2 linked regions of the Bombyx mori genome follow. The protein of the gene in region 1 purifies or fractionates together with the protein of each later gene. This does not show direct contact. Links are inferred from orthologs where the notes say so. Each region holds a gene or a part of one and is shown in the gene's direction. Other genes may lie near its edges.

Region 1 (16,638 bases):
ATAATCCAGCGGATTAAGATCGGGACTAGACGACGGCCAGTCTTCAGCTCTGATGAAGTCCGAAACGTTCGTTTCCAACCAAGACTGCGTAGACCGAGCTTTATGACCTGGCGCCGAGTCTTGCTGGAAGGACCATTCTTGATTATTGAACATGGTGTTGTTAAGGGGCTTTACTATCTTCTTAAGAATGGCATCATGATACGCTTGTGCCGATGTTTTGATACCTTTTTCACAAAAGTATGGCTCAGTCACTCCTTCATAGTAATACCCCACCAAACCATCACTGAAGTCGGATAGTGCCCACCTTGCACTCTGTCGACTAATTGGGAAGCTTCCTTAGAACTTTGAGCATAAATACGGTCATTTTGTTTGTTAAAATGTTGCTCAATTGTACTTTGCGTACCGCTTCAGTAGTTGTTTCGATTTTACCACCCTATTCTCTTTTAAATTATCAGTTTAGAAATGACCAGTACGTTTCTTATAGGCTGCAAGTCCTAAGTCATCTTTTAAAATACGCGACATGGTTCTAGGTGCTATCTTCATCTCCCGAGATAAAATCTTTTGTTTTCGGACAGGATTTCTTCGAATTCTTTCCCTTACTGCTTTGACCACCTTTTTCGTACGAACACTACGTGGACGGCCATATCTTTTTGTGTCACAAATAGAGCTGGTCTCATTGCACCTATTAATAGCCCGGTACACAAACATTTTACTAATACCAAGCGTATGGAGAGTTTTAAAAATTGTATTTGGCTCCATACCTACTTTGTGTAATGCAATCACAGCGATTCGGTTCTCTTTATCACCCCACTCCATTTTAATATCGCAAAATATTGTACAATGTATTGGCGCCCAAATGAAAAAACTCAATGAGCAATCATATAACAATTGCAGATTCCAAATTCAAATGTAATATTTTGTTTATTTTTAATTATAACAGTATTTATGGCCAGACTAAGTACTAACAAGCCGATTTTTCGTGAGAAGCTTCGTTTTGACTAGACGCCCAACTTTTTTCCTTACAGTAACTTTGGTAAGTGGTAGCTTACTAAGGGTAGCAAGGATAAAATATGTTGATTTCACGAATTTAAAAAATTTATTACTAACCGAATTTTTCTTTGTTAATTATCGGGATAATAATCTAAACAACGTGAAAAAATATTTGTTCTACAAAATATAAGGTTTTGTTAGGGAGTCCTAGGGAATAATTTGAATAGTAATCTGTGCTGCAAAATAATAATGGAGTGCCTTTTGTGTAATTTGTTAAAAAATAATAATATAGATATGTGGCTTTCTTGTAAGACTTTTTTATCTGCACGAAAGCATTATAAACACATTGTGGTGTTGTATTTCCTGAAAGTTGGAGTAATGAAATAATAGGTTATCATTCCTCTTGTTACAAGGAATTTAGAGTAAATTTAATGTTTTTATGTTTATATATATATATTTCATTTCATTTTGTATACTCAAAAATTACTAATCTTGTAGGACTAATAAAGCATACTTTTTTTTTGTAGGACATTGTTTTATTTGGACGTAAAATATATTAACCTATCACGTGACACCTTTGTCCTACAGTTACTAATAAAAAAAAAACCTGCGGTATTGACAACTTTTGAGCGTAGGACCAAGATGACATACCATGCAATTTGTAGGACAATGTGGGTGGTAAACAATGCAAATTTTAGCAAACCATTTAAAAAAAATCAGCTGGTTAGTAATTATTTTTTATTACCTTGTTTATGATAGATGTTAGAGAGGGGGACTCCCTATCAAAACCTTATATTTTGTAGGACAAATATTTTTTGATGTTATTTAGATAATTAACAAAGAAAAATGCGGTTAATAATATTTTTTTAAATTTCGTGAAATCAACATATTTTATTCTTCTACCCCTGGTAAGCTACCATTTACCAACGTTACTGTAAGGAAAAAAGTTGGGCGTCTAGTCAAAAGGAAGCTACTCACGAAAAATCAGCTTGTTAGTAATAAATGATGAAAAGTGTACCAGGGATCCTGTACTATCAGTTTAATTGATGTGTCTTGATGTCTGTCTCTGGATACCGAAACCGTTTAACCGTCGAAAATCTTTCGATTTTAATATGTTTTTTTTTTATTAAGAAAATCCTGGTGTAAATTTCCGATAAGTCGTGGGTCAGAAAAACGTTAATTGAAATGTTGCTGTGAACCACCAATGATTTCACAAACAAATACCTGATATGAAAAGGATGTGTACCTATTTGGCAGGCAGCGACTTCGCTATGCTCTTGGCATTGCTGACTTCCATGAGCGACGGTAACCACTTGCCATCAGCAATGAAAAAAATTAAAGGCTTATGGTAAATATTATTCTGAAAACAGTATTAAAGAATATATCTGTGAACTCTTCCACGGCTGGTGGGACGATAGTAAAGAAAAGAAAAGAGTAAACAGGCAGAATCACAGAGCGAACCGTTACCCCACGATCTATAGAGAGGTCTATGTCTACAAGAGAAGGTTATTGTCACTTCGTAACAAGGTGACAGTTCACAAAATTTGACATGACATTTCGTTATGACCTATGCAAGTGTAATATCCACTCATGCGGCTCGCATGCACATAAATTCTCTCCAGGTCATCCAATCCCGTTTCTGCAGAAATACCGTCAGAGCACCGTGGTACGTGACGAAAGTCGACCTTCACAACTATCTAAATGCAGAACCGGTACGTAAGTATCTTAAGGTAATGTCAGAACGCTACTTGGACAAAGCGGCGCGACACGATAACCCTCTTATAGTGGCTGCCGCTAATGTCTTGTCGCATCCACCGGATCCTCGTCGAGCTCGTGGATCACGTCCAAGAGTTCGACGAGCGAACTAACTCAACTAACCTAACTGAGTTTCTTGGAACTTCTCAGTGGGTCGCGATTCCAATGCGTCGATAGATTCTGAGAAGCTCTTGCCAGGTCTAGTGTTATCAAATTCTCTCAGTTTGAGCCCGTGAGCTCACCTACCCGTCCATGCCAAACTGGAATAACCCTTTAGGCTATCAGTGATTAAGTAGGTAGTAATAGTAGGACAAAAAAAGACGGAACCGAAGTCCGCCCGCAGGTCCAGAGGTTCCAACTGGTCAACTTCGTGTCTGAACAACAAGCACTTTTTAAAGAGGTCGTGGCTTAAAGAATAAACGCTCGATATATTCGTTTCAAGAGATGGAACTGTACCGGTGGTCAAAACCTTCTGTGATGAAGGAATTATATCGTGACTTTATAAATCAAATACGCAAAATTTATAAATTTGCATAATTATACCTGTGGCATGGCTTATAGCTAGCTCGACCACCATCCTGTCTATTTCTTCTTAGAGGCGATAATGTGTTGTCTTGGAGGGTAAGAGAGCTACCAACATACTACTCGTACATACTCGTAATTTAGATTTCAACCCCATTTCTCACGTGGGCGGCGGCATTCATGTTGTACGGTCTACAAGCTCTGGTATCCAATTAACGGTAACTCATCAAGGCCAGAAAAATAAAGTATTACCTAGTTGCTTCGAATGAACTCCACAGATTTCGTCCGTAGGGATTGTTGAAAATTATAATCTCAGAGCTGATTTGGAAAATCTCGGTCTATGGAGAAAGATTTACATTGATGCTGAGGCAGTGGCTTTACTGCTCCATCAGCAAACCTAATGTCCGCATGCGAAGCGTTCACACTTACTATCAGGTAGGCTGGAAGTGGTCATCCATTTATTAAGACAAGCTAAAGGAGGAGGAGTAAGCCAAACATTTTAAAACTCATCCGTATTTAAAAAAAAAACGAATTCGAATCGAACTTGGTAGGCAGCGGCTTGGCTCTGCTCCTGGCATTGCTGAAGTCCATGGGCGACGGTAACCACACAAAGGCAATAAAAAAAATTAACATTTTTTCGAAGTTCCCATTCTAAAATGCAGCCATTTTGAAGGCATGAAGGAAAAAGTCCACAATAATGATCATGGCAACGAAAACATTGACTCATAATTATAAGCTAAATCTCATGTAAGTTATTGGACGCCTCCAGAAGCTCATCTGATGTGGATGGCGATAACAAAATGAAACCCGAGACGCTATGCTAGTTATTACTTAACTGAGTGGCAGATTATTTTGCAATAATTTCAATAACATTAAGGTTTCAAATTTTCTGATACTAGCAGATTATGCATGAGCGATATGCATAATATCTCCCGGAATGCCACAGATATCCTTACATAATCCCCTTTTTCCAAAATTTAAATGAAGCCGTTAATTCCAGTACTTCCAAAATAATAATATGTAGGTACTTCAATATATTGATTGCATGAAATGTGAAAACTTAGAAACAAAATGTTATTGTATTTTTTATCATATTTTTCTTTTAAGGCCCATAAATTTCGACTAACTTTGACTAAGCTTCGACTAAATCTTTAATTTCCACTATCTAACAATTTTTTTATGTTAGCATAACACAGACTTGAACTTTCTGCGTTGCTACAACTAAATTCATTGACTAGCAGCGAGATTTTGTATTTCTACCGCCAGCGAAAACCTTTCCGACTATTTGTATTTATCCAAATTAACAAAGTGTAATCGTTGTAAGGCGAAACAGGGCAGGTACGTATATCGTTGAGTATATGTGGTAGTCCTGGTAGGTCATATTGTGAGCTAGAATCAACAACTATCGCCATTTTATCTTTTTTCCCCCGAAGAAGAATAATAACGAATCAATGTAATCAAACAAAAGGGTCTAAAGGTTTCGAATACTGTAGCTTTTTACATATTTCTATGTGAGGTTAGTAGATATTGCATATTTGCTGTACTTTTAAATAAACAAGTTTTAATAGTAAATATTTAGGTAAATGATAATTATGTTTTTTTTCTTTCAGATATTTATAATTATTTGTCCCATTATATACAACGCATAGAGTGAATAAATCACAAACGCTAAATTAAAATGTGTGTTACAAGATTGTCTTTGAAACAGACTAGTATGGCCAGACTGTATGCAATACCGGTCACTCACATACGCACGAATACGCAAATCCGCAAGTGTAGGACGACATTTGCAAATGATTATGCAAAGTTTTCGCTGCATTCGTGGTTTTCCAAGCTGTGTCGGTTTTTTAACAGACATCAAAGCGCGCGAACCGCGATCCTTCGCGTAGTCTCCCACACATTCGTGTGACCAGTTGCGCCCAGGATTGCGAAGGCAACGGACGTTTCGCTATTTTCATAGATCGTGACGTCTACTGTGTAGCGTATCTTCATCAAAAGAAATCCCATAAAAACAGCATCGCTGTTAATGATATCCGGGAAAGACTTCAAAACTCTTTTACTCTTCAATGTTCTATTGACGAATTAAAAAGGAGGAGAAATTCGTGAGACATTGTAAAAACGGGTTCGCAAATTGAGTACCGAACCCATTTGCACAGCCGCTAAGTTTGCGAATGAATATTTGACGGCCCTTCACATGCGCGCAAACATTCGTACAATGTACGAATATTTGCGCGCATGTCAGTGGCCGGCATTAGTGTATAATTTGGGCGAACATCGATCTTTTCTTTCAAATTTACATTGAAGTTTCATTTTCGGAACCCATTTCATTTTTCAGCTCAAAAGCTTTTGTCGTGCAACGTTAAAGATTGGCTATTTTACCTTTGTTTATTAAACTACGCAAAACAAACAAAAACACAATTAACACCAGCGTGGTTAACACTCTTTTTTTATCTACCTTTATGCTAGTAATCTAGACTATTTTGGTTTTACCCTTACTGGCACTTCGTAGAAGTTAAACCTTCAGAAGTATTTATCGTGCCAGAACGCAGAAACAAACGAGACTGAGAATTTTTCAAAGCTTGGGTTTGTTACAAAAAGATTCCAGATTAATTCGAGGCCCGAGGTCGTGTAGGTTAACGTTCCTCACGAACCACGGAGCTCCTTACGGATGGCTTACTTGCAAAAGCGGGATTGTTGGGATTGGAGGGTGTCTATGTGCGTGCGGGCCGCGTGAGCGAACACCACATTCGCGTAACGCATAGATTATACACTTAATATAGCGTAACGGTCGCGGACTGTCATACAGTATCTATGAAAGCGAATAAATGGATACAATGAAATGGAGTCCTAGGGCGTGTCTTCTTGGGTTCTTTGGCTTATTTATTTTCTATTTCTATTTTAGATCATCAAGGTGTTGATACATTTTTGTTACAATTTGTATTTTACAGCCATGGATTTAACCTAAAAAACTTTACACGTATAGCGTTTGTTTCTTTTGCTTACATAAATTAGAAAAACATGTTTTGTTTTCTTTAATAGGGGTGTCAATTCTTTTCGAAAAATTTCGAACTTAAAAATCGATTCGATACTCTATCGAACCACATAAAAAATCGAGGTCTAAAACTTCGATTATTCAAGAAGCGGTTTTTTTCAGTTTGCATTCAGCTGGCAGTGACCCTGACTGCGCCGAGGGTTATGGGTTCGATTCCCACATCGGGCTAACATTAGTGTGATGAAAGGTTTATTGCCTGAGTGTTTATTATTTATATATCTATATTTTTAAACATATATAAGTATATATATCACTCTCTGATACCCATAGCACAGATAATCCCAATCTGGGGCCAGATGTCCCCTGCGTCATTTGTTCCCAGTTATTAATTATTTATTCCATCTGATCGTGCGGTGTATGGAGTATATAAATAAATAATTTACCAAATATGAAGACAGAAATGCAATTATCGCTTTCAGAGGAATAGTCACTAAAGGACTATTGTGTTTACCACAAGAACTAATGTTTAATTAATAGGAGAAAAATATAATAGAGATGAGATTGCTATGGATGTAGAATTGGAAAGTTCATCATTGAAAATAGTGCTAGTTCCAGAAAATTATGTGCGGTTTTTTTTATTGAGCTGCCAATTGGTTGCTTTTTTTAAGTTCTTATGTGGGTGTACGAGCCCACGGCCCACCTGGTGTTAAGTGGTTGCCGTAGTCCATAGACATCAACAACATAAATACCATCATCCACTTTGAGACATGAGTTTCGAATTTTAATTTTTATAGTACAATTGCTGCCCTACCCTTCAAACCGAAACTTAATACTGCGTCACGGCAGAAACAGGCAGAGTAGTGTCATTCACCCATGGGGGCTCACGAACAAGTACGTAAATTATAATTTTTGCGCATTAGATTTTTATTACACGATTAAAAATCGATCTTATTTGGCCAAAAATCAATGTCGGATCGGCCTCCGTAATTCTCGAAAATTTTCGGTACAAGCAAAGCGCAAGTCTACATAATATGTCATTGTCAATGTCAATTGTGGTACACCTATGTACATAGATTATACACTTCCTATGTATGTCTCAAGTATCTTTATGTAGGCTGTGACTAGAATAGAATTAAATAATAAACTTAGTTAAAGCACTGGAAGATATTTTTCTAGAATACGAAAGAAAATGTTTTTACGTTTTAGAAATTTACACCAGTTAAAAAAGTTTGTTAATGTAAACACATTAAACAAAAGATTCTCCCAAGAACCAGCAACTTCTGTTTCAAGTACAGATATCAGTATTAGTGACAATTGTGTACAAAAATTAAAAGAATTATGTAAAGAAAACGATACCTTTCTGAGGCTTTGTGTAGAAAGTGGTGGATGCTCTGGATTCCAGTATAAATTCAACTTAGACAATGTTGTTGATAGTGATGACAGGTATGTATTAGAGCAAAATATCGAAGTACTCTGCTATACAACTCACTTTTGATTGCATAAGATAGTGGCAGAATAAAAAGAATAAGAAAAGAGCTGTAACAAAACTCGTGGAAAGAATATTCAGTGCTATTATTTTAGAAATTAAGAAGCATTCTTGTCAAATATATAATATCATTTTTCAAACTCATTTTTCATTCTGTATAATAATAATAATGAATATTATATTGTAATATTATTCTTCATTTCTTTATCAATGTAGAAGACATTGTGTTTTCTTAATGGTCTAAATGAGAGACTTCAATCAGTCTGGACTAAATTCCTATATCCCAAAAATATACACAAGTACAACAAAAGTTACTAATATTATGATAACTTAATTAGGAAAATCAGGACCTTTTATTAGCAACAAATTTTTATCAAAGTAATTGCTTAGTCTTGATTGGTTAAATTCTCCTGCATTGGAGTTAAAATAATAGCAACTAATCAAACACTATGAAAACAAATAAATAACCTTTAAGAATAAAACTATACATTTTAAAAGAGAAAAATTCTATGAAAATAGTGCTGGACTTGTGGTATACTAGCTGTTACTTGCAATGCTTTGCTGTTTTTTTGTGTAATATGAAACTTATACTTTTAATAACCAATTATGTATTACAATCTTTTATATAATAATAATTTATTTATTAACCTTGAAAACATTTACACATAACAGTTTGCTAAAAACTCTTCACACTAGGCACTGCCTGTCTCATGGAGAGTTTTTAGATGAAAGGCCCAGGATTGAGTCGTGTGTAGTGCCATGGGAGATGCCTAAGTCCAACAGTGGAGTAAATAGGCTGCAAATGAAGTACTTATACAATCCAACTTCTTTGTCTCTCTCTCTCTCTCTCTCTCTCTCTCTAATATATATATAATAATTATATAAATAAGTATATAATTATATGAAGCATACAAACCATACTTGTAATATATTATAAATAGAATTTGCTTCTTAACCTTGCACATCTATACCAAATAATTTGATCTTTGATGAGACTGATCATAAAATTTGGAATGTAGATTATCAATGATACAGAAAAGCACAGAGAATACTGTCCGTTCAGAACAAGAAGCTGTTCTAGGGATATGTGATTTCTATTTATAGATTATAATTTCTTTTATTGCCCTTGTAGGTATACAAGCATACAGCCCACTTGATAGTGAATGGTTACCGTCACTCATGATCATCACTAATGCCAGGGGCAGAGCCAAGCCGCCGCCTATAATGCATGAAGCAGAGTGTAAAAGTTAGTAAAGAATAAATTGTTCATTATGTATCCATTCATTTATATTATAAATAAAATTAGTGTTAAAATAATTTTTTTCAATAATTGCCAATTTAATTTTTTTTGGGTTCTGAGCAAACATTTAGAGTATATTTTATGCTTGATTTGGTAAGCCAATACATCATAATTATTTTTTATGATCATCTTAATATTTTTATATGAATTTTTATGAAAGGAAAAAGAGTATAAAAAGCCGATACATCTTTTAGTATACTTTATTATAACATTCTCATTTTGTTGCTACTCTAATACAAAACCCTATAACCCTATTAACCCTATTACATACCACACCCTTGCCCCTTTTGCTTTAATATTCGTTTTTTTTGTCAATATTTTCTCTTGTTGAAAAATTATTTTAACGATGGAAACCGATGCATTAGCAGTAGTGACTTTTTAATAATGAGGACATCAAGATAGCTAGACGTAAAATGATTGGCTTCATTGGACATGACAGCCTAAAAAAAAATGCATTAATTTTTAGGGGCATTATGAAATGATGAATTTTTAATCTTCAAATTTACTTGAACTTTATTTTGTTATGTTTTTTTTTATAAGTTCAAGATATTCCAGTTGACGTTGTTTAAATATCAATCTCGTAATTTCTGAACTGAAAAAAAATACTACTATTCATTACTACATTTGCCAAAGTTAACATTTTTGCCAAAGGGCCTAAGGAATTTAAGGTTATGCTATTTAGTAATTCAATGTTTTTGTAATTGCATTGAATATGTACGGAAGCTCGCATTATTGTTTTAAGGAAATAGATGAAACAAAACTTCATTGACTAACCAAGTTTTTTTTTCAGGATATTTGAAAAAAATGGTGTCAAAGTGGTGGTTGATGAGACGTCACTTGAGTATATTAAAGGTTCAACAATAGATTATCACACTGAACTTATTAGGTCTGCTTTCCGAGTGCAACAGAACCCAAATGCAGATATAGGTTGCTCTTGCGGTGCTAGTTTTTCTATAAAAATTGATTGAAATGGCCATATTAAACCACTGTAAATTTTTTATGCAATTATGGAAAATAATTTAGTTAAGAAATGAATGATTAGATAGATTATAATATGTGTTTTAATAATACTTAGTAATTAAACTGTAAAAACAATCTACTTAAAGAGTTTAATGATTTGAAAATACCTAAATCTCTTTTAGTTAAAGACAAATATGTTTCAGTGACCATTATCAAGGAGCAGGGCTCTCAATTACCAGTCATTTTCATGTGATAACAAACAAGAGCTGACAGATTGTGAACAATTATTAAATAATGAATAGTTCAGAATCTTAGTGATAAAGCTCTTTGAAATTTGTTCCATACAGAGTGGTTTGAGAAACTCTTCCAGATGATCTCGTAAATTTTTACAATCCGCCGTCGGAGTAGAATTTGTTGTTACCGTGAAAAACACTGTTTGGTTTGGACTGAGAATGAAATCCCGTCGTTATTTCTAAAGTCTCTAGTGGTAGATAGCGGCTGACATGTGTTTCTTATATTGCTAATATCCACAGAGGATGTTGGGCGCTCACCATTAGGTGGGCACCTTGGAAATAAAAAAACCGTGTATTTAAATTTTATATACAATAAAATCCTCCAAAATCGCATGGCGCTATGGTGGACCTTTTGACAAATCCAAATATCCAGAGGAGGAGGAGAGGCCTTACAGGCGCTTTGGATTAATCGAGGGTGGACACGTAAACGATCTATTTACAACGACCATACATTCTAATATAAAAAATATATATTTAAAAATGTTATTTTATTTCATATTAAGAAAGAAAAAACAAAATTGTCAATGAGACTGAGATACATTGATTGCGGCCCAAACGTTGTCTAGTTTCGGCGACGGCAGAGTTATCATGGGTTCGTTCTTAGAGGAATTCACAGGCAATCTGAAATTATTCAAATAAAATTATATTTATATTATTGAAGAGTATTGTAATTTACCCATTAAACGTATGTATTTGTAATATGCGTACTATATACACAGTTACATCTGGATGCACATAAACAAAGAACGGATGTGAATTGGTCACGGCGGAACCCACGCTCGGGGCTTGCTCCACATGAGAGCGCCGTTCTTTTTCCGTACCAAGCCATCGTCAAGCCGGGATAGAATCTCGCCTGAAATCTGGTTGTGCCCGTATACCGGTTTGGGGACCAGCAAAGCAGACCCAAGAAGACGACGTGTTAAGGTCCTTATCATACTAGCGGTTTGCGAGCGCATGCAGGGCCGAGCATATCCGCCGCGAATACACCGTGAAGACTCGGCGGCTGCTCAGTGAGGACATCGCGGCGTCGCCGACCCGTGGTAGATACGCAACGTTTTCGTCGCGTATTTGTAGCGAGTTAACGTCGTACAATACACTCAGTAACAAAACTTGTTACTTCGAAGATGCCGAAGACGAAAACGAAAGCATAGACGAATTTGGGAGGATCCATTATCAGTTAAATCGAATGGAAGAGAGCGAGTACTTTGTTATGAGTTATTGCACCTGATACTGACTGAAGTGAGGCGGGTGGACGGGCTGGCGTTTGTACGAGACGATAAAAAATGGCGTCTACGCTGCTATTCGCGACGATCTCCTTGCGCGTCCGTAACGAATTCGCTGCGCATACGCGGCGTGTTCGTTGCGCGCCCGCTGCTTTGAGAACGCTCGCAATCCGCTATATAGTATGATAACGCCCTAAGAGTGACGGATGACCGCACTCTCCGATGCATGTTGGTTCTGACCCAGTGGAGTATCCAGGAGTTATGTGTTCGCGGCGATGTCTAAGCGGGCTTCGGATTGCCTGCCGACCGAGATGCTCATTGGTCATTCGGCCTGTGGGAGTAGAATTTGCGCGATCCTTACTCCCGCCCAGTCTCGGTTGAGTTTTGTCTCATCTGATGCAGATTGTTGAGCGACAAGAGGTTTTATTCCCGTTCAATTTAACGTATGCCGCTTAGTCCCTGCAATCTATAAGCGGAGGGCCGGCGATTTCTTCCGGACCCAAAAAATTAAGAAGTGTATGTATCTAGCAAGAAATCTAAAAAAATGTAGTTTCAAAAAAAACGTGCTAGGACTCACTGCTGAAAATCCCCAGAAGAAACGAAGGCGTCATTGACTTTTTTCACATTGTGCGGCGAATAACGGTTGTACTTTCCCCAGATACTATTCATGAATTTGCTGTTATACTTTACAGGTAATTCAACATCTGAAATTATTTTAACGATTATTACTTACATTAAATAACTAACTACCAGTAATACGCCTATTATCTTAATATAAATTAATATTTTTGATTATTCAATACTGAAGTCGTTGTGGCCTAAAGGATAATCTCGAATCCCACAAGCAGTGAGCTTAGTGTCAGTTTTTTAACGTTCTCGATAGCGTAAAAGTTAACTCAAATCTGTAGGTACCTATGCAGTTGGAACAGCGCCCCTAGTGGCAATTGTAGGCAAACGTATATTTCTGCCGTGAAAGAGTAATAAGTTTCGGTAGTACCAAAAAACTTAGACTGACTCGGAATTCGTGTAACAAGGCGGATGGTGGCGTGTAAGTTTTTGATGTCTATGGATTCCGGTAATGGGTTGGGTAATTCCGGTGGGTTGTCAGCTCGTCTACCCATCTAAGCAATAAAAAAACACGTGGTGCTCTCAACAATATCGGACAGTGTTCAAACTGAAAGTCTCATTTGGTACTTAAATCTAATATGAGCTACACTTTTTTAGAGCCTGCCATGAGCACATGAGCTTACCTGTTAAGTGGTTACCGGATCCACTGTTTTGTAGCGGTTATCAGATCCAAAGATATCTTAAAGCTAATACTGCCACCCTTGTAGAGAAATAGGGTGAAAGTCGCAACATTAACCTGCCCTTCGAACCGAATTAACCATCAGAAAAGGCATAAGTATTATAAGAGAATTTGAATTAATAGAAAGCTGGGTAGGTGATTTTTTCTTCAAGTATTGCCACCTCATTCTTGTTTATAATAAATCTGTTGACGACCGTTCACTCCTAGGCTTGAATCACAAACGGGATGTAAAAACATAAGAAAAGTAAATTTTTGGCCTTAGCCTAATAAAATCGAATAATTTGCTAAAAACAATGGAATTTAAGTTTTTTTATTTTATTTATGATATCTGTGAACCTGTAACATGCTTTCATATCTATTTACCATTTCTATAAACAGTCTCATTAAATTTATGTAACTTATTTATTCAACAACAACTCACTTGTGAAACTGAAATATTTGTCAGGTTTCTTGCCCATATCAACATTGGGCATCTTCAAGTCACGATTTTCACGTTGAGTTTCACGGATACGCCCAGCCGTAAAAGCGGATGGCGGAATGCAAGACATTTTCTTCAGTTCACAGGCTGGAAAGGAAATTAGGATATTTCTCAGAACAGGATCTTATATTTAGAGAACGGTGTTAGGGCGTATCTTGGAAAGATACCTAATGTAGAAGCCGGGGATTCTAATTTCCATTTGCGGGAACCATTTTGCTTAAAACTTAGTTACTATTAAAGTACTTACTTTATAATTAATGATTAATGCATGAGTGTTGTGTACTGATGGTATTTACATTTTAACTGATACATTGATCTTAACATACACACTCAGCAGAAAAGAAACGGCAACAGCGTATTATCCCAACGGGCTGAAACTACATACCGAGTACATTGATATTTTTTTTAGATTCTGCTGAAATTCATTCGAAAACGTGCTTGAAGAGTTTCAGCAAGCTAACTTAACCATCTACGAGAAGTAAATTCATAGCAATATGGTAAAGTGGGAGGGGAGTAATGTTGCGAGATCTTTTACCGAATAAAAGAAACCCGGCATAAATATGAATCGCGATAATACCAAGAATTTACACTCGCTCGGTACACTTTATATTATAAGGAATTAGGTTAAAAATACATTTTAAATGGTCTAAGTAGGTATATTATGTTGTTTGCCAAATAATGCATTGCAAAATAACTGTACGAAAATTGGCAATATAAATAATTCTTAGTATTTAAAAAAACAAAAAGTAATAGCTATGGGGTTATTCTTTTGTGTGTAGTAAGCTAGGCTTTACCGGACACGACATTAAACAATATTTTTACTACCGAATTACTTCGAATTTGGACTATATTTTGACAAAGAACTGAAAATGTTGCGTCAATATTAATTAATACGCTGGCTGGTTAACATGTTTTAATCATTGGCAATAGTAAAAGCCTCAGTGTTTTTCTAAAGTATTTTTTAAAATAATTTAGGAACAATATGAACTTTAGATTAATATATAGATTGTTCGCCATATTTAGAATGTGTTATCGTGTTTATAATATACCTTTACACAGTTCGAAGATTAACTTGCTCAGTGTCACAGTTTTCTTTTGTGCAATGATGAGCTCAAAACTATTGGAGTCTTCGCAAACGCTGCGGTACGTGCAACGAAATTTTCTTGGATTCAGCAGCACCATGAATTACACGGACCAAAGAGAACGACTATTACAGTAGGCAATAGAGTAACTACTGACAAGATGGCTGCTCAGTATGAGTTCACGACCCCAATGTCCAGTTATCAGTTTCCAGCGACGAGAAGGCGACGTAATGTTTCAAATACACAAATATGATAAGTTGTTGGTCCTAAAGTTCGAACATACGCACAGGTGGCTGTGATTAAATATTGTTTTAAGCTTTGATCATAACACATAGCAACAAACATAGCTCTAAAAATATTAAAAATCCTATTTAAACGAGCATTTACGACTAATGCTAAGAAACAAACCCGATGTCGTAACGTCATGTTAAAAGTAGCAAAAAATTATATTCACACAATATGTCGTCACTGTCAGCCAAATCATTCATTTTGTTTGTTTGTTTTATATAAGTGGACGAGCTCCCGACCCGCCTAGTGTTAAGTGGTTACCTGAGCCCATAATCACCAACAACGTAAAAGCCGCCAGTCACCGTGAGACCTGAGTTTTAAGTTACCGTTTTTACAGTACAACGGCTGCTCAGCCCCCCAAACCGAAACGCATTACTGCATATTAGAAATAGGCACGATAGTGTTACCTACCCGTGCAGGCTCACAAGATACCCTACCACCAGTAAAAAACGGTGTAGGCCTTTTGTCAGAATAATGCTCTTTATTCTGAGCGACATATTATTATGTTGTACATTCTCGTATGACTATAACGTAATATATACGTAGTTATTTTATAATAACCTGTCCCCACCTACTACACTACACTACGCACACACACACACACACTACACCTGCCTACACTACCTATACACTGTCCGTAGCGCGCTTTGGGATTGTTTTCTTTCCGTCCATGTTAGTCCACTAGTTCCGTTGATTTTTTTTATGATTGACAGCTTACTGGTGGCCCAGAGGCCTTTCCAGTTTCACAAGGACAGGTTGGCGAGCAAGGGCTCAGCCAGAAAGGGCGGGATTTGCTAACAGCTACCCGAGCGCCTCCAAGGGAGACCTAACAACTCAAGAGTAGCTGCTTCGCGAATGAATCTACTACCGGATCGGAATCGCGACCCGCTGAGAAGATCCGGCGAGAAACTCAACGGGCTGATGTTAAGGTTAGGTTGCACGTCGAACTCTTTGCCGAGTTCGACGAATACGGTTACCGGGGTCTCTCCTAGTGTTAGAGTGGAAGGCGTCTAATGCAAGGGTTATTGCATCTGATGGATCCGTAAGGATGTGGAGTTCCGTTGTTACAATAGCTGCTGCCGTAAGCAAAAATGGTATTGCTTTGGACTGGGAACGATTTATAGGGTTCTATATATACTTATAAGGAGATGCCATCCATAACAGACTTGGTAGACTTGGTTGGAGATAGAAATACTATTTACTTTCCATAAAACATGCCGTTGTCGCTTGTCCAAATTTATTTTCTCCATGCAGGTTCATTTGAATGGTTTAGATGATATGACCGTTCCATGCAAAATACACGTTTTACGTTATGTATCTTATTTCATTTGCAAATATCTGTCTATGTATATTATATAAGGCTGCTTACAAGAATAAAGACAAGAATACTTTACATAATAGCTTTCATAATCATGGTAATTAGGCGTCACCTGTGCTGGGTTATTTGTATTTTTAATTCAAAACCAACGAAACAGGTTGTATTGTAGGTACAGGTATAACTTGGTTCACTTTATGTAAATCATATTATATTGATATATTGGTCCGTTGCTATATGAAAAACGACACAACCAATCGCACATCGCTTAAATATATAATAATATGTATTAGGATATTATTATTTTTTTCCTACCTATGCTGATAGCCTACAGCGGCGAGATCAGCTTCTCCTTGACTTGACGTGTAGGTGAGCTCATAGGGCTCAAACCGGGAGTGTTGCTAACACTGGCCCTAGCAAGAGCAGTGCTTCGCAGAGTCTACCACCGGATCGGAAACGCAACTCACTGAGAAGATCCGGCGAGAAACTCAATGGGCTGTGTGTATGGGGGTATATTACGATATGGCATCCTTAATATAGTAGCAAGCATCGACCCATCTTTCTATATGGTACAATATACTTACAAATCCAACTAAGCCTTCAAATTACGGAAGACAAATCTTAAAGTTTGTTTATAAAATGATATAA
Region 2 (15,931 bases), on another chromosome or scaffold:
AGCACGCAAAACATTACAACCAAAACTTGAAGAGGAACGAAGGAGGGGTAACATAGCATACTTAAAATTAGATAAACTAATAATCAAGAGCCAAACGGATGCTAATCGAGAAAAAAGGAAAAGAGACCCATCTTCTTCGCCCAATGTCAGCACACCACGAAAAGAAAATGAATTGTACGTAGCTCCGAAGAAAGTCAACACAACTAATGCGTACGAATACATGGCACGCGTAAAATCAAACTCATTAAGAGAGAAAACCAATGTATAGCGATCACCATACACTCGAAACCGGAATAATAACAATCATTATAATACAAACCTGCAAAAAACAACCAAGAAAAACATTCCCCCAAGCCGGCTGGTCCCCGTGGGGGAAAATGACCATAACCCTCCAGTAAGCAAAACAGTACCTCAAAAATCAATACAAATTGGAACATTTAATGTAAAATCGTTAGCATCCATAACAAGATACATAGAACTAGTATACCCACTAGAAAAATATTAGGCTTAGTTGAAGTTAGACGGATGGGCAGTGGCATCGAAGAGCATCAAGACTTTATATTCTGCTTTAAAGGAGAAGCACCTGGCATGCGTAAAGTAGGATTTTTAAATTTAGTAAGCTTCTTAGGCTTATCTTAAAGAGTTGCAATACCTCAACTGGAGTTCAACAGAATGGTAATATCAATCAATAAATCAAGTGTATGCACCAACTGAAAAGGATTCTAAAGAAAAATCGATAAAATTTTACGAATCACTACAAGAAGCGCAAGCGCAAGCTAGTGAAAATGTCCTGTTAGTGGGAAACTTCAATGCCAAGATAGGGATAGCTAAAACAAAAGAAGAAAATAATGGATGAAAAGAGCTAAGAACAAAAAAAATTGGATTAAGCTGGAGGAGGCCTATACCCAAATAGGGGTTCCTATCGAAGAAAAAGTTTGATGTACGCAAATCAAATAAACAAAACTGAAAATAGATCAAAATGTAAAAATCATATTACGATATATATTAAGAATATTTACATGTAATACTTAGGTGATGGGAAATAAAAGGCTTTATTATTATTATTATTATTATTATTATAATACATAACATTTAAACCTAGCGATACTCCTGACCTGAAACTAATCAATTTTTAAGGTAACTCAACTCGTCGAATAGTACTGGACACTTCTAGGTCTTTGTTCGGAAAAGACAATGACTGCCAGTATGCCGAGTATATGCCTGTATTGTCAACTGTTTTCGCAATTACGTGGATTGTTATGTTCACAATCTGTCCGGGCGGAGGCTATGCTCGAACTGGGTGAGATAAAATCTAATAATATTATAAATTAATGTCCACACTGTTAACACACACAAATTCATTTATTTAAACAATTATAAGCACAAATTGAACATATTGCATTACTAGCTGAGTCCCGCGATGTTACACGCGGTTATTGTCGTACCGCGGGTCACGCCGCGGGACGAATCTAGTCCAGTGAAAGTCCCGTCAAAATCGGTCCAGCCATTCCAGAGATTAGTCGGAACAAACAGACAGACAGACAGACAGACAGACATACAAAAATTGTGAAAAATGTTATTTTGGTGTATGACCGTATATATATTCATACGCATGTAGTAAAAAGCGGTAATTACAATATTACAAACAGATACTCCAATTTTATTTATATGTATAGATTAACTACACGACTGTGCATTGAATTGATTCAAAGTATATATGTATCTGTTTTTTTACTTTCTCGATCGTGTAAAAGTTAAATTCGTATGGAGTTGGAAAAGCGCCCCTAGCGGAAAACAAAGGAAAATTAAATAACTCGCACTAAGCACAATGTTTTCTCAAATATATGATTTAACACAAACTTCATTTTCTATATTTGCAGTCTCCAGCAGCCGTGGCGTATATTAATGCCAGCCTTGTTATTTTCGCTAGTAATGGCAGGTCTCACTGGCTATAGTTTTACCATGACGAACAAGGGCCTACACGCGTTCTGTGAAGCATTTTTCGATATCACCAATTCGACTAAGTGAGTGCTTGTGTAGATACTATTTTCAAAATTTAAAAAGTATTCGATTCTGGATTTGACAGCAATTATATGATATTGCCTTTTGAGCAAACAAGCCATGGCTTACCCGATTAAGTGGTTACTGGAATCCATACAAACGTTCACGAGTGACTTCCACGGTGAAGGAATAACATCGTGCAATAAAAATCAAACCCGCAAAATTACTGGTGGTAGGATCTCTTGTGAGTCCGCACGGGTAGGTACCACCGCTCCACCTATTTCTGCCGTGAAGCAGTAATGCGTTTCGGTTTGAAGGGTGGGGCAGCCGTTGTGACTATACTGAGACCTTAGAAGTATATCTTTTTTTTTTATTGCTTGGATGTGTGGACGGGCTCACAGCCCACCTGGTGTTAAGTGGTTACTGGAGCCCATAGACATCTACAACGTAAATGCGCCACACACCTTGAGATATAGTTAGTGAGTGAGATATAGTATAGTTACAACGGCTGCCCCGCCTTCAAACCGAAACGCATTACTGCTTCACGTCAGAAATAGGCAGGGTGGTGGTACCTATCCGTGCGGACTCACAAGAGGTCTTACCACCAGTAAAAAGTCTATTAGTCAGATGACCCAAATACACCACATACTACACATAGCTACTTTGAGCTACTATAACTTCTCGGTCATTGGATCGTTTTAATAAAATAACTTATTTGCCTATTTAAGTTCTATCTTTTTACTGGTGCTAGGACCTCTTGTGAGTCTGCGCGGGTAGGTACCACCACCCTGCCTATTTCTGCCATGAAGCAGTAATGCGTTTCGATTTGAAAGGTGGGGCAGCCTTCGTATGTTCCTAATTCGAAGTCCTTTAAAGAAGGATGCTACAACTTTTGTTGTGTGACAGCTGTTCATCTGTGAACGAACATATAGAGCGAAGTTGGGAAGCGACGTGGAGTTTTAGCGGCAGAGCGGCGACGACACGTGCAGCCAGCGCTGCCGTGTGGGCCAGCTGGGCCTGCGCCACCGCTTTACTGTTCGCACGCTGCCTAGCCGCTCCCGATTTTCAAGTCAAGAAAACCAGCGTGTACCTTAAAAGGGATCCACAAAACGTAAGCCGTCCAGCGTACCTAATTGTATTTTTTTATACGTCACGAAATTTTAATGGTTACTAGCTGACCCGGCAGATTTCGTAGTGCCTCAATCGATAAATAAAATACCTAAGCTTTTGTATAAAATAAACTTAAAACAAACAAAAGAAATCCGTCCGACGGGGGACACATTGAAGGAAAAACAAAATTGGTATTTTTATCTAATTCCGAGCATTTTCATATTTATCTACCTTTTAAACCTTCTCTGGACTTCCACAAGTAATTCAAGACCAAAACCATTTTAGTCAAATCGGTCCAGCCGTTCTCGAGTTTTAGCGAGACTAACGAACAGCAATTCATTTATCTATTCGACGCTTGAAAGGCAAACGTGACTAAGCGACAATTTAACTGCTTTTTACATAAATGATAGGCAATAACAATATTCGAGGCACAAAAAAAAAATTTTTTCTAGGTCTATTAAAATAATTTCAATCCTACAGCTAGATTCGTTAAAATAGATTTTTTTTCAAGTATTTCAACTTTAAATTAGTCTACTGTAAAGTTCACGCATTGTCGCTTAGTCATGTTTGCCTATCAAGCATCGAATTATATAGATTATCGTTCTTATTTTGTGATATTAAGAATATTTCTCTTTAATAGAAAATCACTCCTTATTTGAGAAGAGCTTCAAGGCATTCGCGTTCATCGAATAGTTCGCCGAACAAGCGCGATAACGTGTCAGCGAAATCCGAACCAACTGCCACCACTGAGCTCGTTACGGTTTCATTAGAACAGGAATCCGTACCTGCATCTCTTGTAACAACACCCCAGAGGACGTCATACAACACAGACTTAATAGAAATGACTCACAATCCCGAAGAACGAAAAGAGAAGTAAATTATTTTAATGTAAATGGTTGATTTCAGCTTCAGACGTACATAAAATGTATAGACTGGTTTTTTGTTTATCTCCTATTATTCTACCTACGTATATTTATTTGATAAAATATACGTACAAACATAACTTAACGCCATATCGTGGTCCAGTGGTAGGTATCAACCTAAATTAGATCTAAGTGTCAGATTTATATTCAGTGTCGTGTTTGATTCAATTGAATTTACTTCCTAAGTCTTAATCAATTTTATAATCAAAGAGCATCATCCAACGCAAAGTATATTCTCCCAAGCTTCGCACTGCGAACTATCAGTCGACAGTATTGCATATAAAAATGTTATTACGGATTTAAAAAACTGTGGCAATCTCATTGATAATTTACTGCTAAGCTTCTTTATTTGCCATTTAAATTGAAATTTTGCATATATTGTCATATCTACATGAAAAACTAAGGAAGCTTAGATTTCTTTCGTTTTGTTTTAAATAATTCGATTTTCTTCCATCAATTTCGTCACTAGCTTCTAGAAGACGCTCAGTCTTTCTGTGTTGTAATTGTGTTTGGACGACGCCGCCCACGGATTAAGCATGGTGATAAGAAAGCATTATAGTTGCAAAATTTATGAAGCACCTAAAGTAGGTGTATTTGTTATGGGGATTTTGTGATGTTGTAAGGTAACGTTGTTGCCTACCCACGCAATTTAAAACAAATCAGAGATTTAATAAAATGTAAAATTTAAAAACATGCGGAAAATAGTGTCTCATTTCTGAAGCCAAGAACGGTAAATTGTGACATGTAAATTATTAGTCTTTGATTGGTTCGTTTTGAAATAAAAATATTAATTTTGTAATAATATTAAAAATCTGTGCTCAAATTCAAATGGTCAAATTTGCGTTTCTTGTATTTTAATACAATAATTGGAGTTTTTTAAATTGACAAAGAACATTAAATGGGCCTATAAGAGCCAGTATTACAATTACTTTATAAGTTCAGTTTAATTTACGATTTTGTAATTTTCGCATTTATTTTTACAAATTGTTTTTCATTGTAAGATTTTCTCTATTGTGACTAATAAATAAATTTATACACATGGAATACATATTTTCCTTCCTTATTTGATTTGTAATCCTATTCACCAATTCACCTATAAACATTTCGTAGTCTAGCCGACAGGACGCCTAATGTATTCATATCAAGTGATGCGACTATTGAGTGTACTTTATATGGATGCGATTGGCAATCTACGTTAAATGCACAATCTCCACGAAGAGGCCATAATATCCTGCGATAAAAATAAAATTTGAAAAAGTTAGAGTATCTTGCCTATTTCTATCTACCGCAAAGTGAATATACGATGATCATAGAGAAATTTCTATCTCTCCATTATGATGTGTTTGACCATTCACCATTTTTCTATTATAATAAAAGTGAAAATTATACTTTCTTACAGACGATAACACCGAATGAGGTTGATCCTTTGGCCTATAAAAAGGTTAAGTCAATTCTAAAATTTTCTTGTCAAGTGCACTTTTTGGCGGGAACGTGGGGCGAAGTTGTACAAATTGTTTTATTTTGTCTACTTAGTGTATCTTCAGGTTTAATGTGTAATAACGGTCGTTTATTAACTGTTTAGTATATGTGAAAGTGCACAAATGTTGCAAAATGAAACAAAGCCGCTGAACGTAATTTCTCGGAATCCTTCAAAAAATTCACTGAAAAGTTTCAGTAAATGACCATCATTTTGCTAAGATTATATCTCACTCCATATCATCTCATTTCATTTCATTTCATGTCATATCATGTTTCATATTAATCAACCTCATTTCATTTCATAATATCATTTTTCACATAAAAGTTTTCATTAAAATGGCTTGACCTAAAAGTCTTAGTTACCAGGTCATAATCCCATAAAAAAATGTGTCAAAACTGTCAAATAAATTATGAATTTGTTGTAAAATTTAATTCATAAAAATTTGATTTTGTCGGAAATAGTCAAAGCATTGCAAAATCAGGAACCCATTTCAAATGACTAAATGACTTCATGGTGTGTTTAGATAAAATTTCCAACCGAAATGTTACATCAGGTAAAGAAGTTTTTATTTACTAAATCGTTACAGAAGCAATTCTCGCGATACTCACACGTCGAAAATCCTATTCTTTACCCATTAGAAAGTCGAAAGTTATTAAATATCGCTGGAAAAGATGCCGGTGTATACCTACAAGGTCTTATTACTAATGACATGAGACATTTCGAGGAAGGTGCATCGTCGATTTATGCTATGTTTTTAAATACCAAGGGCAGGGTACTCTACGATGTTTTGATTCATAAATGGAATACTGACGATTCGTTCCTTCTAGAATGTGATAAAAATGTTATTAGTCACATACAGAAACATTTAAAAATGTACAAATTAAAGAGACTAGTGGAAATAACTGATTTGAGCAACGAGTACAAAATACATGCTTTAGTACCAAATGTGAATATTGGTGTAGTTACTCCAACACACAATGTTAATATATATAAAGACCCTAGATTGCCTGAACTTGGGATGAGGATTATATCACCAATGTCAATAACACATTCTGAATTAATAAAAATTCCCACAAAAGATATTCAAATTAAGAATAGTGAAGAGGGATACAAGTGTCTCAGGTATAAGTTGGGTGTAAGTGAAGGATCTGAAGATTTACCGCCTGGAGTAACCTTTCCTTTGGAAGTGAACTGTGACTATCTTCATGGTGTTAGCTTCCACAAGGGTTGTTATATTGGACAAGAACTGACAGCACGAGTTCATCATACAGGAGTTGTAAGGAAAAGAATAATGCCAATTAAGTTTACACAGGCAGTGGACGGCTTAGATAAAGATTCTACAATAAATGCTAGTGAGAATCCTAAATCAACTATAGGAAAATTAAAAGGTTACATACAAAATTATGGACTGGGTCTAATTAGGGTAAAGGAAGCTTTAGAAGCAAAATCATTAGTAATTGGAAGTTACACTGCAGAAGTATTAAAACCTACTTGGTGGCCTATGGAAGCACCAAAAGACAAAGCAACTGTTGTAAAGGCTGAATAATGAGTAATCACAATTTAAATGCAACTCTACAACAAGTTATTTCTAATAGTTATATAGATTATTTTAATGTGCATAATATTTTCCAGTAACAATGACAGACCAGAAAGAAAAACCCACAGAAGAATCCGTACAAGTCCTTCATGAATTCAAATGTTCATCATGCAATATAAATGAAAAAGCCCATTACAAAGGCACTAATCCTCCATTCTCCCGTAATATTGTCTTAAAATATCCAAGTTATGTAATGAAGGATCCATTCAGTCCTCCGGGTAAAGGTGAAATATTAGTGCTTGGAGCAGATTGTAATATCTGTGAAAAATCTGTGTGCATAAGTAAAAACTGTAGTATTTTTTACCACAAAACATATTGTTTGGATTGTGCATATCAAAACGTTGATAGCTTTCCTATTGAAATTAAGAATAAAGTGCAATGCCAAAGAGGAAATTATGATTTTGTTTTATTTTCACACAAAGAACCATTGGCTTATTTTTTATTTACTAGACAGGTAACAGGAATCATGACCTGCTTAGATGGTAATTTCTGTGGTTAAGTGATTACCAGAATTCATAAAATCACCTTTTGTATGCATTTATGCTCCCTGAGACATGAGTACATTTAAAATGTACAATATAACGGCTGTACCACCCCTTCATCTGAAATGCTCGATTGCTTTGTCACAGAAAAGGTAAGTTGTGTAAGGTGGTGCCTACTGAGGTTTATACCTACCACAGTTACTATTCTTTTCCAAGTCGATCGAAGTTTACTCCCAATGCATTCTAATGTTCCTGACAAATATAAAGGTTTATCACAGTTGATGCTGTGCAAATTCAATTTTGAACTATCAAACATTAAATAAAACAATGGCTACAAAATACTGTTTACTTTGGCTTTCCAATCCGATTTACAGTATTTTCTTAATTTTTCCACAAATCATAAGTAACAGTTACATAACTGAGACAATCTGTTTCACTACATAAATTTAATTATGATACAGAAGTTTAAAAACGAGAGGGGAACAGTGCACGCCCACCGTCCCTCACCATCGCGCCATGCTGCAGTACATACAACGAATTTAGAAAATAAAGATAATTATAGCATAGTTATATTAAAATGTAGGTATATATTAATAAGCTCTAAATTAGGACAAAATTAAATATAGATTTTGTCTTATATCATCAGTCACTCCATTCAGATTGATAGCACCACAATACATTCATTACTTTCACAACTTGTACAGTGACTGCTTCATCTCGTAACAAACGCCTACCGGTACAATATAAAATAGATTCAGATGTTCACCAATATTAATTATATGCAAATGAATATAAAAATTGAAACTTCTAAAACTGCTTTAATTCGTTTTCTTTTCTCTGTTATTACTTTTTCGTTTAGTTGGTGCACGAATGTTTATTGGTAGCTATATGGGGGTAATCATATTTTCATATAAATGTTCGAAAAACATTACACAATTAATCTACTGAATGAGAAACAAACAACGCTTAAAAGTACTACAGGTATATTTGCGAATGCAAAACCAAATATTAGTTTTTTGCATTGTGTTACTATAAAGATATAAAATGGACACGTTTTTGCATTCTATGATAGTCAATATATACATTATTTCACTAAATTTCTATACATGAATTCTTGATCATAAATTCAAAAATTTGAGAAAAGTGAATGCTACTATTTGAGTAGTGCATTGATTGCTTACTAACCAAAGTTTTCAAAACGAATTTGAAACAATAACCATAAGCTTCAATAAAGATTCGACGTACAATATAATATGTACTGGCCAAATTGATCCAGAAAAAAAAAACAAAGTACACGCCTTGGACGGGAGAGACTCAATTATAACACTTACGATATGATCTACTAGTCAGACTTACATAAACAGGGTTGGTTCGAAGGGTTTCATTTGTAATTTTTGACCCAAATTTTCACAAACTGAAATTACAACTTTCACAGCCTAAACGAATTTTTCATTTCTCTCTAAAGATTATACATAACTGCTTACCAATTTCACTAAATTCATAACATTATAAAACCTATAGTCATTTAATATTATGAGGGACAGTCTTTCACAACACAATAAAGCAAATCAGTAATTTAGAAATGCAAAAAAAAAACTAAATAAAAAATCATTGTCCTTAAAATAGTTTTTGGTGTCAAATTAACAGCATAAATTGCAGGGTTTCAAATTTATTTATTTTTATTCCAGTCATTTCAATTCGAGCAGAAAAAATGCGTGATGTGTTGAAACCCCGCAAATTAGGTATTAAATGGACCCCATAGAATTTAAAAAGTGCGGTGGTAGTTGTAAAAGCTACACAGTGTACAAATGATCAGAATTGATTAAGATTTGTCATTTAATACTTCCACAACATAATCCGAAGTATTGTACAAGAATCTTAATTAAACATGTTTTTTGAAACTTGAATAATTATTAAATTTTAAATCTAATTAATATGCTGCCAAAACAAATATGTCAATACACTAAATAGTCTTCTGTATACATAAGAATACAGAACTGAAACAACAGAAAGTACAATAGTATATGCTTCATTTATCTAAACAGTTCACATACGAGATAGTGAATGTTTTTTTTCATCACTATGTATATAAGTCACGACCCTCAGCAATGAGGAAACGACAGAGAAGAAGAAGATATAAGGAAATCTAATTTACTTATTTAGCATACATGTCGCGAGGCAGTTGCCAAAGCATAGTCGAAAAGGACCAACAGAAATAAATAATAAAATACAAAAACACTGTGACTCTTACCCTTGTGCTACTAACAGTTATTAAAAGGGAGGTTTCATTTAAATTTGGAATGTACAATTTGATATTTAACTTTTTATTTAATTTGATTTTCTATGCAATCTAAGATCAATCTTAGATAAGTAAGTACTTTTAAAATACAGTTCAAACATACAATATTATATTCGTGCACAAGACACAAAATCAAGATCCATTTATTTAGTTTTTAACATTAACCAACACTTCCAAACGTTTATTAAAATGAGTTTTGAGCTAATTTTGTTATGTAATTTTATATCAACATAGTTTTTTACCTAGCAACACCAAAATTAACATCAAATCGACTTTAAACATCTTAAATAAATAAAATTTAATCTTATCTAATTTCAGTATTCTGAAACCATTTTTCCTTTGTATCACACATTGAACAGAATATATTATACGTAAATTAGAGTTTGATTAGAAATAAGTTACTGCACAACGCACAAAGCTAATTAATACAAGAAGAATATTATATTTGCATGACGATCAGTAATCCAAAAGTTTTTCGGTCTCTAAAGAGCATTCCATAAATCGATTTTTTTTATCACATCACTATTTAATTATGTCATTTCCGATTGAATTTAAAACAAAATCACGAACTCGATAACGAAGTTCAATATCACAATCGACATCTATGACTCCGTAGGGCGATCACTTTGCCAGTTTAATGTACACGTCACTGAACCGAAGACGGATAGGGCGCCCGCACTCGCCTCGCACAGACCTGACGGCGCCCGAATCGATTTTCACCGAACGTGAAGAGGATCGATTTCGCGATACAGTCGAACGGTACCCTATCCTTCCCCCAGCATGTGGTGCAGCATGTCGACGAGTGTGTTGAGGGCGAGCGCGAGCTGGGCGCGGTAGTGCGAGGGGCGGGGCGGGCCGGTCGGCGTCGCGGGCTCGTCGTCGGGATCGTCTTCGGGATCGAAGCCCGCTTCCTCCGCGTCCTCTGCGTCGCTGCCCTCCGGCGTGTGGCACGCGACCGTCTCGGGCGGACACTCCCTGCTCGTTTCAGGTTCCGATTCTTCCTCCTCTGTAGATCGCAAAATGTTTTTTACCTTTCAACGATCGTTGAAAACTTTGTCATTTATATACGAATATAGTTAGTTAGGTTGAACTCAATAGCTTTAGTACAACAGTTGTCATGCCCTATAACGATATACTTATCGAATTGTGCAGAAGTAAGTTACACATTTGCACGGGCCAGCAGTATGTACCACCAGGAGAACCCCAGATAGAAACTAAGATGGTTTAGAAATTAACTGATTGCATATAGAAATAGATGGGATTTAAGATACGATGATTTGGAAGTAATAGCTGAAGGAGAACGGAATTACTTTACTGCATCATCGACGATCGAGAAGAACCTAGAAATTATATCTCAAGGTGGGTGGTGCATTTACGTTGTGAATGTCTATGGGCTCCAGTAACCACTTAACACCAGGTGGGCTGCGAACTCGTCCACTCATCTAAGCAATAAAAAAAACCGGTTTATTATTCATCAAGATTTTTTTACTTAAATTAGATCCAAACTGGCCTTTATTGAAACGAATGAAACAAATGAAGTAATGTTAAAGAACAGCTGTCGATTGTTTTCCAAGATCATGAACAGTTTTTTTTTTCTTTTTCTTATTGCTTATATGGGTGGACGAGCTCACAGCCCACCTGGTTTTAAGAGGTTACTGGAGCCCATAGAAATCTACAACGTAAATGCGCCACCCACCTTGAGATATAAGTTTTAAGGTCTCAAGTATAGTTACAACGGCTGCCCCACCCTTCAAACCGAAACGCATTATACTGCTTCACGACAGAAATAGGCAGGGCGGTGGTACCTACCCGCGCGGACTCACAAGAGGTCCTGCCACCAGTTAAGATGTGGAGGAGCATTGAGGCGTGTCGGTGGAGGTACGTACCGGGCGGCGGGGCGTGCTGCAGCCGCTGCTGGGCGAGCAGCGCGGCGCGCAGCATGTGTCGCGCGGCGGGCGGCGCGGGGCGGGCGCGCGGCACGAGCAGCACGAGCGCGCGCACGCAGCCCAGCACGCCGCCCGAGCACGCGTCCGACCCGCGCAGCTCCTCCGCCAGCGACTCCGCGACGCCGATGCATCCCGGGTCGCGGGCCTGCATACACGACTTGCTTTCATACGTTTTCTTTTTATTTAACTATAAATCTTAACGCTTATTTGTACTAGGATTCTTAAATATATATAATTATAATTAACTAGCTTTTGACCGCGACTTCGTCCGCGTGGAATATAGTTCACAAATAATGCTTTACTTAAAAACGAATTTGGTTAGCATTAAAAACGTTATAGTGAGCCAACCTTAACATATAGACATATGTTGACGCGGACTTTTTTTTAGATCTTTTAAAGGGGAACAATTCTGGCACACATTATTTTAGCAAAGCTTTAACCGTTTCTACAGCGGAAGCTCTCAAAAGGGAAAAAAACCCGATTTTGAAACACTCTTTATTGGTGTTCCGTTTGTATTGGTCTTAGCGTGATGTTATATAGCACATAGCCTTCCTGAATAAATGGGCTATCTAACACTCAAATAACTTTTCAAATCGGACCAGCAGTTCCTGAGATTAGCGCGTTCAAACAAACAAGCTCTTCAGCTTTATAATATTAGTATAGATAAAAAAAAAATACAACTTCTAAACCTTCTAAACTTAAATTACTATATTCCAGTGACGCTTCTATCCTACGAAAAAAAAAACCAACACTCTTCGGAAACGAAATGAAGTGAATTAGCTCAAATACAAATAAACACGAAAAGAGAATTGTTTAGTAATCTTAAGACGTCGAATTATTTAAAATGATTGTAATGTTGCACTGTACTCAACGTGACTCTCACCTTAGGCAGGTACAGTTGCATGAACTCGTAAATAACGATGTCTTCTAAAGACTCCCGCTCGTCGAGTATTATCGCGTCAATATATTCATTCAACACGCTGCACTCCAATAACATCTCTTCTAACTTCGCATCGGCCTGAAAATACGAACTCAAAAATTTACTTATTATATCGGTAAATATGTAGAACTTGATCAATTTTGAAGTCGTCGTGGTCTTGAGGATAAGAATCCAGATTTTTATTTTAACCGATTTTTTATTATTATTTATTATTATTTTTAAAACCGATTTCTGGCCCCGTGAGCTCACCTACACACGCTAGGGTAAGCTGACATAGCCTCTCAAGGCTATCAGCATAGGCAGGAAAAAAAAAGTAGAACATGTCAATCCGCGATTCGCGGGCGTGAATGTCCTACTTTTCTCCCTCGGTGCGTAATGTACTATCATACATTTTTGTTTCTTTTTTCTTATAAAATACTTCCTACTTACTATTCACGAACAACTAATGCGATGATGAAATAATATCGTGTAATTAAATTGAGGGATTCGAACACCGTGGCATCGCTTGATGCAAATGCACCAGGGGTCTTATCATTTAAGCCACGATTCAAGCATATTAGTGGTGGAGCACATCCGATAGTTTTGTCCCGATGTCTACAAGTATACGTACCGGCGTGGAGGCGACGTCTCTCCAGAAGGCGGCGAAGTAGTTGAACCGGAGCGGCACGGCCTCCAGCGCGCACAGCGCCGACAGCAGCACCAGTTGCTCCGACATGCAGCGCTGGCTCCGAGCGACGCGACAGCACGTGTCTGCGGAAACGATACCTTCATATATTCTACCTCAATAGTTGTGTATTTTTGAAGTGAAAACTTCTTTAGAATCGTTGTGATTTCAAACCGGATGCAACGGAAAAAACGACAGGTAAGAGACACAAATACAAAAATGTGTAGGATGAATGAGACAGAAATATACATACTATTTAATACAGCGCCATCTGAGAATTTTTAATACTAACGTGTGTATGAAAGCTCTTGTAGTGAATTTTAATTTAGGATTATATGTGAAATTAAAATATCAATTCACAGAGGGCGCTACCTTACAATTATTTACTAATGACAAAATTTTACATATACTTAAGACGTTTAGGATAATTGTATTTTAATTTTGGAAGGTTTCACTTCTACCAAGTGTGAATTGCACACATGTATTTTTTTTTTTAATTTACATGAAGCATAAGTAATGATTAGGGAAACGACTGTCTTTTAATTTTTTATTGCTTAAATGTGTGGACGAACTCACAGCCCACCTGGTGTTAAGTGGTTACTGGAACCCATAGACATTTACAACGCAAATGCGCCACCCACCTTGAGATATAAGTTCTAAGGTCTCAGTATAGTTACGGTTACTGTGGCAAAGGGTTGCGTAAATAAATATGTAATAAGAATTATTCTTTTTTTCTGTCATTTATATCTAATTCCTATATTTTAATGATCGTATATATTTCGTATATATATATTTTAATGATAATGACGTATCGAACATCAAATCTATTGATTTTTATGCATCCGATGATGGTCCGATAAAATTGGTTTTAGCAGTAAGACAGCAAATTTTATTTTTGATTTTGTTTTTACGTTTTCACCTTATTAACAGTGAAAGTTATTTATAGTACAGTGGTAGAGTACATACCGATGAATTTGTGGTAGGGTCTGTAGGCGGCGGCGTGAGGGTGCGGCTGGTGCGAGTGTCTGTGTCGGGGAGGCGGCGCGGTGCGAGCGGCGCAGTGTGCCCCGGCCGCCAGCGGGACCAGCGCCCCCAGCGCCGCAGCACCTCCCATCACCACTAGCTCCTTCAGTACTCCTGTGTGACCATTCGATAAAATTTATTACGTAAACGCAAAAACTAGACGATATGTAAGTACATTTAAAATTGAAATTCATTGTCATCTGAAAACCATTGATTCGTTGTCCAAAACAATCTTAACAGTATCGAATTCATTTATTTTTTGTTCGTTTTTACATATGTGATTTTGTAATTTATAATTTTAACACACGTAAGTCTCAAATTAAAGTGTAGGAGTACAATTAACGAATGTTCTCGAAATCATTTTTCAGTATTTTATCACTTCTATAATGTACTAGCTGTACCCGTCCCTAACCGGCGCCATCTAGGCGGGCTTCGGATAGCCTGCCGACCGAGAGGGCTGGTGGTCGTGGCGCCGACGACCGCCAGTCCGGTGTCCCGAGGGGGAGGGTGATGGGAGAGATGTGCTCCGCACTAAACTCTTCCCTTTCCCCCTTTTGCCTTTTCATGAGTTTTGTGTCATGCGAGGTTTGGACGTTGGTTGTTGAGAGACAGGAGGTTTTAGTCGGTTCGACTCCGACATGCCCCGCCCTCCATCCCCAGTGAAGGGCGGAAGTCCGGCGATTTCCTCCTGACAAAAAAAAAAAAAAACTGTACCCGTCCGCTTCGCTGGGCATTTAAAATTAACATTATTATTTCTCACCCCCACGAAGATTCTCATCATTAAGTAGAGAGTCCAACACTCATATAAATATTGCCTATCCATTAAATACATGGATACCAAGTTTCAAGTCAATCGAATGCATGGTTCAGTAGTTATAACGGAACATCCGTAAAAACCACTGTAGATTTATATACTAGTATAGATTACATTTTATAAACAATAAGTATATTATTATGATTTTGCGGTGATCACCTAGCGCGGCTTCCCGAAGATGATCGAACCGATGGTGCAAGTTGAGCATGGTGAGCAGACGCCGCGCACACTCGGGCCAGTCCTTGCAGGCGAGCAGCAGGGCGCGCGCCTCCTTGGCGTCGCGGCGCGTGCGCAGCGTGCGGCACAGCGAGCGCGCCCAGCGCAGCGCCGCGCCCAGCTCCGCACGCACCGCGCCGCCCGCGCCCGCCGCCGCCCCCGACCCGCCCGCGCCGCCCCCCTCCACGTACACGGCGTGCAAACTGTGCAGGGCCTGTACCACACAAAACGATTCGTAGGTTAAAAAGGTCACATGCATAGGCAACAAATTAATAATCCCTTAATGATAAATAGAACGATAAGAGACAGCTTGTTTGCAACAAAAAAGTTAACACTATAAAATGTCGCACCCAAATGTAAATTAAATATTTTTTATTATAAAATATTAATTATTATATTTCAGTTCCACAACTGCAGTTACCAGACGGTTCTTCAC

What was found.
Region 2: the proteins of uncharacterized protein LOC101736064 (region 1) and putative transferase CAF17 homolog, mitochondrial purify together in Homo sapiens (co-immunoprecipitation; 4 studies listed by BioGRID and IntAct, with this or other methods). This does not show direct contact. The link is inferred for Bombyx mori from reciprocal best matches to the Homo sapiens genes ISCA2 and IBA57.

The regions. Positions count from the first base shown.
Region 1 is NC_085109.1:8,396,423-8,413,060, forward strand, and holds uncharacterized protein LOC101736064, read left to right. Parts: upstream 1-7,300; 5' UTR 7,301-7,448; coding exon 7,449-7,702; intron 7,703-9,835; coding exon 9,836-10,013; 3' UTR 10,014-10,144; downstream 10,145-16,638. Other genes in the region: uncharacterized protein LOC101735939, read right to left, coding at 10,820-10,919, 12,099-12,225, 13,249-13,392, 14,355-14,487. UniProt on the Homo sapiens protein: Involved in the maturation of mitochondrial 4Fe-4S proteins functioning late in the iron-sulfur cluster assembly pathway. May be involved in the binding of an intermediate of Fe/S cluster assembly.
Region 2 is NC_085131.1:8,723,928-8,739,858, reverse strand, and holds putative transferase CAF17 homolog, mitochondrial, read left to right. Parts: upstream 1-5,875; 5' UTR 5,876-6,055; coding exon 6,056-7,060; 3' UTR 7,061-7,063; intron 7,064-7,146; 3' UTR 7,147-7,507; downstream 7,508-15,931. Other genes in the region: uncharacterized protein LOC101745117, read left to right, coding at 1,138-1,300, 1,881-2,024, 2,908-3,112, 3,752-3,988; ubiquitin carboxyl-terminal hydrolase puf, read right to left, coding at 10,657-10,898, 11,779-11,983, 12,722-12,856, 13,389-13,528, 14,409-14,579, 15,439-15,709. UniProt on the Homo sapiens protein: Mitochondrial protein involved in the maturation of mitochondrial [4Fe-4S]-proteins in the late stage of the iron-sulfur cluster assembly pathway. Operates in cooperation with ISCA2 in the maturation of [4Fe-4S] proteins.